Cricetulus griseus: one gene and its partner. The protein of the gene in region 2 interacts with the protein of the main gene of each other region in a biochemical or structural test. Links are inferred from orthologs where the notes say so. Each region holds a gene or a part of one and is shown on either strand. Other genes may lie near its edges.

What was found.
Region 1: of the proteins of Coil (region 2) and Vrk1, one has a biochemical effect on the other in vitro, tested with the Homo sapiens proteins (2 studies listed by BioGRID and IntAct, with this or other methods). The link is inferred for Cricetulus griseus from reciprocal best matches to the Homo sapiens genes COIL and VRK1.

Annotation. Positions count from the first base shown.
Region 1 is NC_048598.1:188,703,703-188,709,752, forward strand, and holds the start of Vrk1 (serine/threonine-protein kinase VRK1), read right to left. Parts: upstream 3,878-6,050; 5' UTR 3,735-3,877; intron 3,684-3,734; exon of another isoform or gene 3,525-3,683; intron 1-3,524. UniProt on the Homo sapiens protein: Serine/threonine kinase involved in the regulation of key cellular processes including the cell cycle, nuclear condensation, transcription regulation, and DNA damage response.
Region 2 is NC_048600.1:102,121,621-102,126,954, reverse strand, and holds part of Coil (coilin), read right to left. Parts: intron 3,379-5,334; coding exon 2,277-3,378; intron 2,159-2,276; coding exon 2,072-2,158; intron 1,815-2,071; coding exon 1,767-1,814; intron 1-1,766. UniProt on the Homo sapiens protein: Component of nuclear coiled bodies, also known as Cajal bodies or CBs, which are involved in the modification and assembly of nucleoplasmic snRNPs.

The sequences.
Region 1 (6,050 bases), on a different chromosome or scaffold from region 2:
CTCAGTACCCTCAGATAGGCCCACAATGCAGCAAGACAGAGTAAGGCCAAAAGATGGTACCTGTTCAACACATAGTTGGTAAAAATAACTTGAGAAATACAACTTCAAGTAAAGCTGTCACTATCCTGCCTATAAGACTTCAAATCTGGATTTTTTTTTTTAATCTTAAGTAAAAATTGACAGTTACATAATGTGTCCTCTCTGATGTTCTTAAAACACGAAGCTAAGTCTAGAGATGTACCTGCTCACCCACTGACAGCAGCCAACCAGCTGATTCAGAGAAATCGGATGCACAGACAGCAATTATAAGGCCCTCGTTTTTTTTTAGTTCCATGCAACCATTCGGTTCCTAACACTGAGCTATGCAGGGTGTGCTTTCTTCCAGTGTCAGTGTGATAGCTGCTTTAAAAGTACATGGCAGAGCATTCGAAAATTTCAAACTAATTACTCTGCCATTTAATTATGACTTCCATTTAGTGTCTCTTCCTATTTAACGCACTGGCGTACTGATATACCGGTTTTCATATGCATGTTTAGTACTACACTGAATATACATCCATCTTAATTTTTAAATCCTAGAGCACAACAGGTTCCCATCCTTTGGGCCAGACACCCTTAGTAAGACAGACGTTGATGCAGACTCATCAAAATGCAGTCACCAGCCACCTAACAGCCTGTCAATCAATGACTGAGTGCAGGGGAGTCTCATAAAATGATGTCACCTAGTGACACCAGTGGTAGTCAATCTGTGTAAGTGTACTGTGATGTCTGCAGTTAATTCATAGTCGCATACTCTGGGATGTCTGCAGTCAGCTTGTATAAGTATACCTTTGTAGCTCTAACTGGTGTGGAACTATGCAGACCAGGTTGGCTCAAACCCACAGAGATCAATCTGACTCTGCCACACAGTCCATCTGTATAAGCATACTGAGGTAGCCACACAGTCCCTGACAATCTGAGATATACAAACATACAACAAAACTACCTTACCTGAAGCCTAAATATGATTGGCATCAGTTTTCCCGTTAACAAACATGTTGCACTTGAAGAAATTCTTAAGTTTATTAAAGAATGGCAGTAAAATGTCCTTGTCATCAGTACTTGTTGATAAATACAATGCCTACTCTGGGGTCAGGACATACCTCTTACTTCCCTAGGCTCTGCAGAGCTTCTTTTAAAGCACTGCCTAACTAGGTGAGGCATGAATACTACCCCTACACACACACACACACACACACACACACACACACACACACACACACACACACCTAGGAGGGTTGCTGTGAGCTCCAGCCAACCTGGAATACACTGTGAGTTCTTGCGCAGCCTAGACTACACAGTAAGATCCTTCTCAAAAAACTAAAACTAAGCTAATAAAAACCAAGCACTACATATACACCACCCAAAAGAATGATGTACTTGAGTTTGAGCACAAAGATTTCAGGCTTGGCTACCGTTCTCAGAGGTCATCCTTGTGGCTTTACAATGAAAACTGCAAGCACAGAGAAATATGGGCTGAAAGTTTCACCACTGAGGGAAAGGCTTGGTCGCTGAAGACACCAGCCTTCTAAACTCATCTCACATCCTATTGCTTTGACAAAACTGTATGACAGAATAGGTTTGTGCTCAGCAGTAGCCATGTGGTCTCCAGGGCCTGTGTCCTCTCACACTCAAACAGAATCTTGACAAGCATTCAAAACACACAATCTAAGCCCATCTAGTTACCAATCCATTGAGGACCTGTCCAGACCAACTTCCCCCACAGCCTCACTTCACTCTCACAAGGCAGAACTCACAGCCTGATGCTTGGAGACAAGAGCCTTGCTCACTTGCATAAACTCAGGAGTCACCCTTCTGTGTTTGACGACAGGTAAATTCCACTTCCAAATCTGTTTATTTTTCAAATCAAAAATACTTTTAAGGTTTTATTTTTCAAATCAAATCCTAGTCCTAACAGGTCTATTTATTAGAGCTGTCTTTTAGGCAGAGGGAGTCAAAATTTAAATCTTTGTCTTTTCTAGACATCTGGGACATTCAACTTTATTATTATTTCACATTAAGTTCTCAAAGTTAAGAAAAGCTGGCCTATTTCCTGTAAGAAATTTAATTTTAGGGCTTGTCAACATTTTAAATGCACTGCTGTTATTTTTAAAACATACACAGGCATACTTGACTAAGACTCAGCATAAGCTTTCCATATAACCATTCCCTGGGCACTCGATAACTTATTAGATGCCAGGCTCCCTGCTTAAGACATCGACTCCATCATCTCATTTGTTTAACAAATAGACTCTCATGGTTTCTGCAATGCCAAGCATAAGCAGCAGCCATTAGTTATCAAAGTCATGTCTGTACTGGATACTAGCGCTGTACGGAATCACTAATGCCTAACACACATTCGTTATCCAACTCAACCCATGTTCCTGTGTTAGCACAGACACCATGGGCAAAGCTGAGTTGCAGCGGCTGCCATCTGTGAAGGCACAACAGGGAAAGCCATTATTAAGTGATGTCAACTTACATTCCTTCCTACAGGCAGATGAGCATTATCTTAACTGACCAGAAATTTAATTCCCGTCATAATTCTAAATTAAATCTCCTCAAACATTATGATCAGCACGTCACAAAAAACTGAGATGCCGCCGGGCGTTGGTGGCGCACGCCTTTAATCCCAGCACTCGGGAGGCAGAGGCAGGCGGATCTCTGTGAGTTCGAGACCAGCCTGGTCTCCAGAGCCAGTGCCAGGATAGGCTCCAAAGCTACACAGAGAAACCCTGTCTCCGGAAAAAAACAAAACAAAACAAAAGACTGAGATGCCTTTCTCCTGAACTCTTGGTTTGTTGTTGTTGTTGTTGTTGTTGTTGTTTTAAGACAGTATTTCTATGTATTGCTTTGGAACCTGTCCTGGAACTCACTCTAGAGACCAGGCTGGCCTCGAACTCAGAGATCCTCCTGCCTCTGCCTCCCAAGCGCTGGGATGAAAGGCGTGCGCCACCAACACCCGGCTTCCTGAACTCTTCTTAAAAATAAATTCTGCTCTACATTTTTTTTTTTACTGTTTTGAATTCCAGACTCAACAGATGGGCAATTCCAGTTTTAAAAACGAGAAAGAACTAATTAATGAAGCTCTTCAACGATCCCCTAAGTTTAGCCACCTCCTTGTCAATCAATCGTCTTTCCAAATTGTATCAAGAGCGGTGGGGGAGGGAAAAGAAGAGCCCACACATACACAAAGCATGGTTGGCTTCAGAGATGAGACAACAGAAAGAAACGGGGAACCTCATCGGGGCTCTAGCGTGTCGTCGCTCTCCCCTCCCCACCTCTCCAGAGACTCTGGTGCGGTTTTACACCTCAGGCTGTCTGGCCTGGAAACCGTCTAGAACAAACTTTGACGCTGCACGGGAAAATAGGGCACCAGCGGAGCACAAGAACCGGGAAGGAAGCGAGAAGCAGGCGGCCGGCGGCGTGCGCCCCGAGGCCTCTCCGCACGCCGCTGAGGAACACAGGGGCTCGGCCCGGCTCACCCCTGGCTCGCGCCGCGTTTCGGGCGTCCTTCTAGCACCGGGCTCCCGGCGGCAGCTCCGCGAGCCGGCTAAGTAAGAAGCCAAGGTTCCCGGGCAGGCCCGACGCGGCCGCGGCGCCGCCGGAAGCCCGGACGAGCAGGGCCGCTCTGAAGCGACGCCGTAGCCACAGTCCCGCCGCCGCCGCCGCCGCCACCACCTCCAGTTCCCTACCCCGAGTTGTCAGCCCGCCGTCCACAGCGTAGTACGAACTTCCCGCCGCTTTCCTCGACTCGCAACTTGTCCACAGCGCTGTCCCCGCCACACCGTGCAGTACTGAGCCTTCCCATTGGCTGCGAGCAGCGGGAGAGGCGGGACGAGAGGAGAGGCGCGCTTCCCGGCTACCTCTGCGGGCACGCCGGGAGTTGTGGTCCTTACGCTCGCTCCATGCTGGGAATTGTAGTCTTTGAGCCACAGAGACCGTCCGGAGTCCTGTGAGCCCGAGAGCTTCTGGGAAGTGTGGTTTACAGGCCGATGGCCGTCTTAACCGCCTACTGTGGCTCTCACAGCCGAAAAAATATTACCAGAGCTCAGTGAAGCTTGATTTATTAAACGTGTAGACTGAGAGACTTATTTCAAATTTCGGAGCCCTTCTCGGTGTCAGTCTGCTCTGCTTCACCTGTCTCCATCGTCCTAGGAGTGAGAAGCAAGGATGGGTTTCAAGCCTCAATTTGGAACTGAATCTTATGAAGCCCTAGAAAAGGCTTTGGGTTTGGGTGTTGTTGTTAGTGCTGTTCTTTTACCAATTTAAGACTGGGGAGTCGGGGGGGAGGGGCCGTTGTTTGTTTTCTTTTTCTTTGAGACAGGATCTCAGTATGTAACTAGCTATCTTGGAACTCACTCTGTAGACCAGTCTGGCCCCGAACTCACGGAGATCCTCCTGTCTCAGTCTCCGAAGTAGTGAGTTAAAAGTATAGGCCAGCACACCTGGCCTGTGTCGTTTTCTTAAAGTGGATCCAAAAGAAAAAAAAAAGAAAAAGCTGTATGAGCTGTAGCACCCCCCCACACACACACACACACACAATCTGAGTCGCTGCCCAGTGTGCAGTCCGTGTCTTGAACTCACTGCCCCAGGTACCTCCACCTACCCCAGCTTCTTCCCTGTCTTGCCTTCTGCCGGAGGAAGCTGACCCAGAATTGCATTGCACACCCCACTGCTCCCAGGCTTCTGCTGAGTTCAATCCATGGAGTACCCTGAGAACTGAAAGGGGAAAAAAAAAAAGTTGGCTACAGAAGGTGACGTTTCTTCTGATTTCTTCCCAACAAGGACACACAAAGGCAGAGAAATCCCTTAGCTGAAGGTCACTGCTCTCTGGGCCTCCCACAAGTTTGCAATGAAAGCAGACCTCTGTGACTTGTCAGGGCTGCCTCTGAGGCTCAAGCTACTACTCCATCCTGTGTGACTCCAACCCGACACCTTTCTCAACGGCCTCATCGAATGTAAACCGTCCTCCACAAATCCTCCCATGGCATCTGCTTTCTGTATACACACTGATGGAAATGCAGGCCCAAGGTGAGCTCTTGATGACTATTTGTCAGCAAAGAGGTCTCGGGATTCACACATCTCATGAGTGCGAAGTCCCACAGCAAGGCTCTGTGGTCAGAATGCTTTGTTCGAAAGACATTCTGCCCGTACAAACGAGTACATGAATCCGAACTTGGAATGTGATTTACTTGTTACAGTGTGATGGTGTTCCCCTAACCTCACCACAGACGTGCAGAAAAAAAGGCTTGACAATTGGCTGACCTTAAAGCAGTTAAGTCAGCAGCAGTTCATGATCCGTTCTGAGGTGGGAATAGAACGCATTCCAGAGCTCATGGCTCTGGCACTCTCAGTCAGATGGCTCCCGGTTGAGCACTGCTTTGCTGCGGCTATGTTCCAAGGCTGTTGCCAACACCTCCAACACCACCCACACGTGCTGAGAAGTCCTACCAGTGAAGAGTGTGGCAGGAGACCAGTCCAAGCTGCCGTCATGGTGACAGCATGTCTGAAATACCACTACTTAGGAGGTGACTCCTGGGACATAGGAGACCTTCAGCACATTCTATGAGTTGATAGGTTGGTGTGAAGGGCCGGAAGGAACAGACCAGTGATCAGTCAGAACCTGCTAAGCTTTTGAAACTAAAAAGTTGAGCTGAGGAAAGACTTGAGAGTACAATCCAGCATATATCCCGAAATACCTCTGCAGCCGAGCCTGGTAGCAAACACCTTTCATCCCAGCACTCCTGAGACAGAAGGGAGATGAATCTCTGTGAGTTTGAGGCCAGAGAGGTCTACCTAGTGAATTCCAAGACAGCCAGAGCCACATAGTGAGACCCTATCTCAAAAAATCAAAACAAAACAAAGAGCCAACCTCTACAACCCTAAGAAATATTTTTAAACATTTACTGTGAACCAGGAGTTAGGGTATCCAGGAAAGATGCTCAGGTAATTAATATTCAGGAAGCCCTACTCTCTATTGGGCAGGAACTATGCTTTTCTGTATGTTT
Region 2 (5,334 bases):
GTAATCCAGGCAGACAACGTGAGGGCTATGATTTGAGGCTAGCTAAGACTCTGCCTCTCAAAAATTTAAAAGGTGGGGGGCTGGAGAGATAACTCAGTGGTAAAGAGCACTGTCTGCTCTTCCAGAGGACCTGGGTTCAATTCCCAGCATCCATATGGTAGCTCACAACTGTCTGTAACTCCAGCTTCAAGGGCTTTGACAGCCTCACAGACATACATGTCTTTCTATCATGACCAGCCCACCTAAATGCCTGCCCAGGGATTTAGCTTCTGATCATACTTGGGCACAATCCCAGCACCTGGCTGGCATGTCATCAACCCTCACCTACAGAGTACCCCCCAAACCTTAGCTCAGGCACATGACTTCTCTGGTCCTGTTTGTTGGGACTCATGAACCTACCTGAAAGCAACACCCAATAAACCTGCATTTATCTGCTTTTAATCTGGTCTTTTGCATCAGCAGAAACATATCAAACACCAAAACACATAAAATAAAAATAAATAAATCATTTAAAAAAAAACAACTTAAACCAGGCATAGTGGTATGTCCTTTAATCCTAGCACTTGGGAGGCAGAGGCAGGGGGATATCTGAGTTCAAAGCCAGTCTTGTCTATGGAGCGAGTTCCAAGATAGTTTCTTTGTGTACAAAGAAACCCGGTTTCCAAAAACAAACAAATACTTAAAAAGAGGACCCACTGCTCTGCCCATATAGGTGGCAATGGTAAGACAAATGGGCAGCTTTGGAGTCATATAGTAAGGCCAACCGATGAGCTCTTTTTTGTTGTTGTTCTGTAAGACAAGGTTTCTTTGTGTAAAAACCCTGGCTGATCTGGAACTTCATTTGTAGACCAAGCTGGTCTCAAACTCACAGAGATCCACCTGCCTCTGCCTCCCAAGTGTTGGGATTATAAAGGCATGCGCCACCACTGCCAGCTAACTCTTTACTGCTGAGCGGTCTCTTGGGCACCACCACTCAGATCCTACCCTTTCTCTCTGGGCACAGACAAGAGATGCTTTTTATTTACTTACTTGTCTTTATGTAGCTATTTATTTCTTTTTGAGACAGGCCCTGAGTTTGAACCTTGGAAGCACAACAGTCCCTGTACTCCACGAGGAGCTAATCATCCTTGTCTTGTTCTCAAGTGTCAGCGACAGAAGACTGGGGGACTTCACAGTGACACTTGTAAAAACATCCACAGGACTCTCATCTTCCTTTATAACATTACTTACCAAAAATGTCTATTATTATCCATGCAAGTGCTATTCAAATCTATCAGCAGTTCATTTTTTAAAATATTTTTGTGTATGAGTGCTCTCTCTATCTGCATGTACACCTGCTTGTCAGCAGAAAGCACCAGATCTCATTATAGATGGTGTGAGCCACCATGTGGTTGCTGGGAACTGAACTCAGAACCTCTGGAAGAGTAGTCAGTGCTCTTAACCACTGAGACATCACTCTCCGGCCCCATACTTCATCTGTTTAAAATATTCGGAAACAGAATCTCCCTATGTCAGCCCAGTTTGCTTCAGTTTCAAAATTCTCCTGCCTCAGCCTCCTGAGTGCCAGGATTAAAAGGTGGATGCTGCTACACTGAACAAGTTTCTGACATAGTGACAATTTAATCTTTTCATTTTTTCTTTTTAATGAACTAGCTGTGAACTCCTAGGCTCAAGAGGATATCCTGCCTCGGTCTCCTGAGTAAGGTAGACAATAGGTACACTCCACCACACAGCTAACTTCATTATGTTCATAGAAACAGTCTTACCTTGTAGTCAGAGACATCAGGAGAGTAGTCCGACGTGAGTTCCAAAAGCTAAAAAAGAAGACAAAGCCTTAGAGTCCACAACTCTCCCAGACCCTCACTCTCTTGGGCCTGCTCCCTCCTACCCCAGGAATGGGTGCCATGCAGAGGCACACACCCCCACCCACCTGATGCCCCACCATGACTTCTGACAACGGCAGACAGTTTTTGTAGACATTGCTTAGTAAGATTCACTAAGTAAGTTTCATGTGTTTGTGGGGGGATGGGAATCTTGCCTTTGTTATAGTTGGTGCTGTTTTAACATATACCTTAAATGCAATCTTTTCACCGACTTGAGGGGCAGCTGCCAACAGTGGCAATAGACTATAGTCCTTCTTGTGTGTCTCTACAGGATTCTGGAAAACAGTCACATGACTCGGTTAACTGGTGAAAAAAGAGGAACCCGTGGCATGCCTCGGAGCTGAGATACACTCCGTGGGGAAAGGGAAGCCAACTCAAACAACGAATGGTTACCTGGATCACAGTGGACGAGTTTGTTAGGATGTCATTTAACTGTTTCTGCTTCTGACTCTCAGAGCTTCTATTTAAGATACAGGAGATAGCAGGCCCTCGGCCTCGACCTCGGCCTCGTATACCCCGGCCCCTCAGCCCCTTCCCCAACAAGAAGTCCTCTCCTCGACCCCATCCTCTTCCCAAACTGGTAGGGACAGGCACACTTGGAGCAGGACCAAGAGCTTGCCTGCCTCTGCTGGAGTCAGAAGGCTTCCAGCCCATAACACCCGAAGTCTGCAACGTCAGCCCTGGACACCCTTGCCCTGCAAAGAGACCGGCTGTCTTTAAGAAGTCTGAGGCGCCTTCAGAGATGTTCTTGGACACCAAGAACTGGTCTTCCGACTCGGAACTGGAGTCTGAACTGGATGACGAGGTTCTGATGGCCTTGCCCTTGCCCTTGCCGGAGCTGAAGGGAAAGGCGGGCTTTGAGGCCTGTTTGTTGACAGCTGCCGTTTTTGCAGCAGGTCCATCGTTCAACAGCTCAGCTGAGAGTTTCTCTGAAAAGGTGATCCCCGACACTGTGATATTGCAGAGGCTATCACTGACCGACTCTGGACAAGAATCAGACTCTGACAGGTAGCCTGAGCCCCCTTTTGGCCCTGCACTACTTTTCCTCAGGGCTTTAGTGAGGCTGCTTCTGGGGGAGCCCTTGGGCAAGCAGTTCTGTGGGCTCCACTCCTTGGGCATCTGCGTTTTGGGAGACTTGGGTGCCTTGGTCTGCTTCTTATGTTCACATTTCTCCTTTTTCTTTGGTGACTTCTTTCTGGCCTCTTCCTCCTCCTCTGCTGGGCTGTCTGTCACTTTGCTTTTTTTCTTGCTTTTCGTCCTCCCCACCCCCACCTCATCTGGAACAGGTTTTGTTTCCAGGTCTAAGGCCTTCTCTTTATAGCTGCTGTCCTCTAGCTTTCTCCAGTGCTTCTTGGAGCACTTGTAACCCAGTTCCATTTCTTCATTGTCCACCAACTTAAAAGCCCGCTTCTTTGCTTTTCTGAGTAGAAAGTTAGAGTCACCGCCATTGCTTACTATGAAATTCTCAGGGAGTTCTCCATCTTCTAACTTAACCCTGTCAAGAGAAGACAGCAAGTAGTTACATACAGCCAAGACTGCAGATTGTGGAGTTTAAGGATGAAAGACGACACAAAATGACCACAACTCTTTCAACGGCTAGTTTTGTTTCGTCTTTGTCGTTTTGAGACAGGGTCTCACAACTTCACCTTAGATGGCCTGGAACTTGCTATGGAGAACAGGCTGGTCTCCAACTCACAGAGCTCCACTGTCTCTTCTTCCTGAGTGCTGGGAGTAAAGGTGGTATTATCATGCCTGGCTCATTGTGGCTAGTTTTAGTAACTTAATAGCTACTGTGTCCCACACATTTTTTTTTTCCTAACTTAAACATCACTGACAAACTAGGTAATCTTTCATTTCAGAGGTCGCAAAATCTACAACTCAAACAGGTACCTGCCCAAGATTCACAGCTGGTAAGAAATAGGAGGATATTCCAACCTTGGCTTGCCTATCTTCAAAACTCAATCAGTTTTTTTTTTTAACAATATAACATTGATTTATTGATAATTTCATACACATATACAATTTATTTCAACCATATTCACACACAAACACTAGCTTCCAACTTCTCTCAGACACCCCAGCTTCATGCCTCCTTTTTCTTAATCCACAATCTCTGTACTATATGTGTGTGTTAGCCATTCTAAAGGATGAACCCATTATCCATCCAGTTTTGCTCTAGAATGAGTAAAAACATAAACTGAACCTGAGTGTCTACTAACAGTTAAGTAAATAGGGAAAATGTGGTGCACATATGGATAATGGAATATTACTCAGCTGTAAAGCAGGTATATCATTTGTAGCAATATGGAGCTGGAGGGCAGGTTGCTAAATTAAATCAGAAAGACAAATACCACACATGTTCATTTATATGAAGACTTTAAAATAAAAGATCTCAAAGAAGCAGAAAATAGAATAAAAACCTAAGGAGGTTGTAGGGGAAGGTAAGACAAACATGTACACTGATACAAAGACTAAATTCTAATGTTCCTCCATAGTATAGGACAACAATGGTGGACAACAATTATCGACAAAGAGCTACAAAAATTTTCTTTTTTCTTTCTTTTTTTTCTCTTTCTCATTCTTTCTTTCTTTTTTGACACCACTGGTAGCTTTGGGTGGCTTTAACTTGGTATGTAGACCAGGCTGGTCTTGAACTCAGAGATTTACCTCTCTCTGCTACCTGAGTGCTGGGATTAAAGACGTATCTAGAGAGGACTTTTAATGTCCTCAACATAAAAGAGAAAAAAATGAAGAAACAGATATGATAATCAATTCTGTTCTGATCATTACATATTATATATACATATCCTGAAATGAGTCATTGCACTCTACAAATATATAAGATAACTATATGGTAATAAAACATTTAAAGCTGGGTGATGGTGGCACACACCTTTAATCCCAGCACTTAGAAGGCAGAGGCAGGAGGATCTCTGTGAGTTTGAGACCAGTCTGGTCTACAAGAGCTGGTTCCAGGTCAGCCTCCAAAGCCATAGAGAAACCCTGTTTCGAAGAAAGAATTATTTAATTATTATTAAAATAATAAAAGTGTTTTCCTATTTCTGCTTAGATTCTGAATAGTTACAGTTACCTATATGATCCATGACAGTTTATAAAGGTTAATTTTATGTCCACCTGGCAAGGCTATGGGGTGCTCAGCTCAAACATTGTGTCTATGACTTGTCTGAAAGAGTTTCTGGATGAGATTCCCACTGAAATCTCAAGAGTGAATAAAGGGCTGCTTGTTTCAAGACCCCTCTCTGCTGCAAGTACCTATGACTTTCCCTTTCTCCTTTCTTTCTTTTCTTTCTTTCTTTCCTTCCTTCCTTCCTTTCTTTTGGTTATAGTTTTCGAGACAGGATTTCGCTGTATAGCCCTGGCTGTTCTGGAACTCACTCTGTAGACCAGGCTGGTCTCCAACTCAGAGATCCACTTGTCTCTGCCTCCCAAG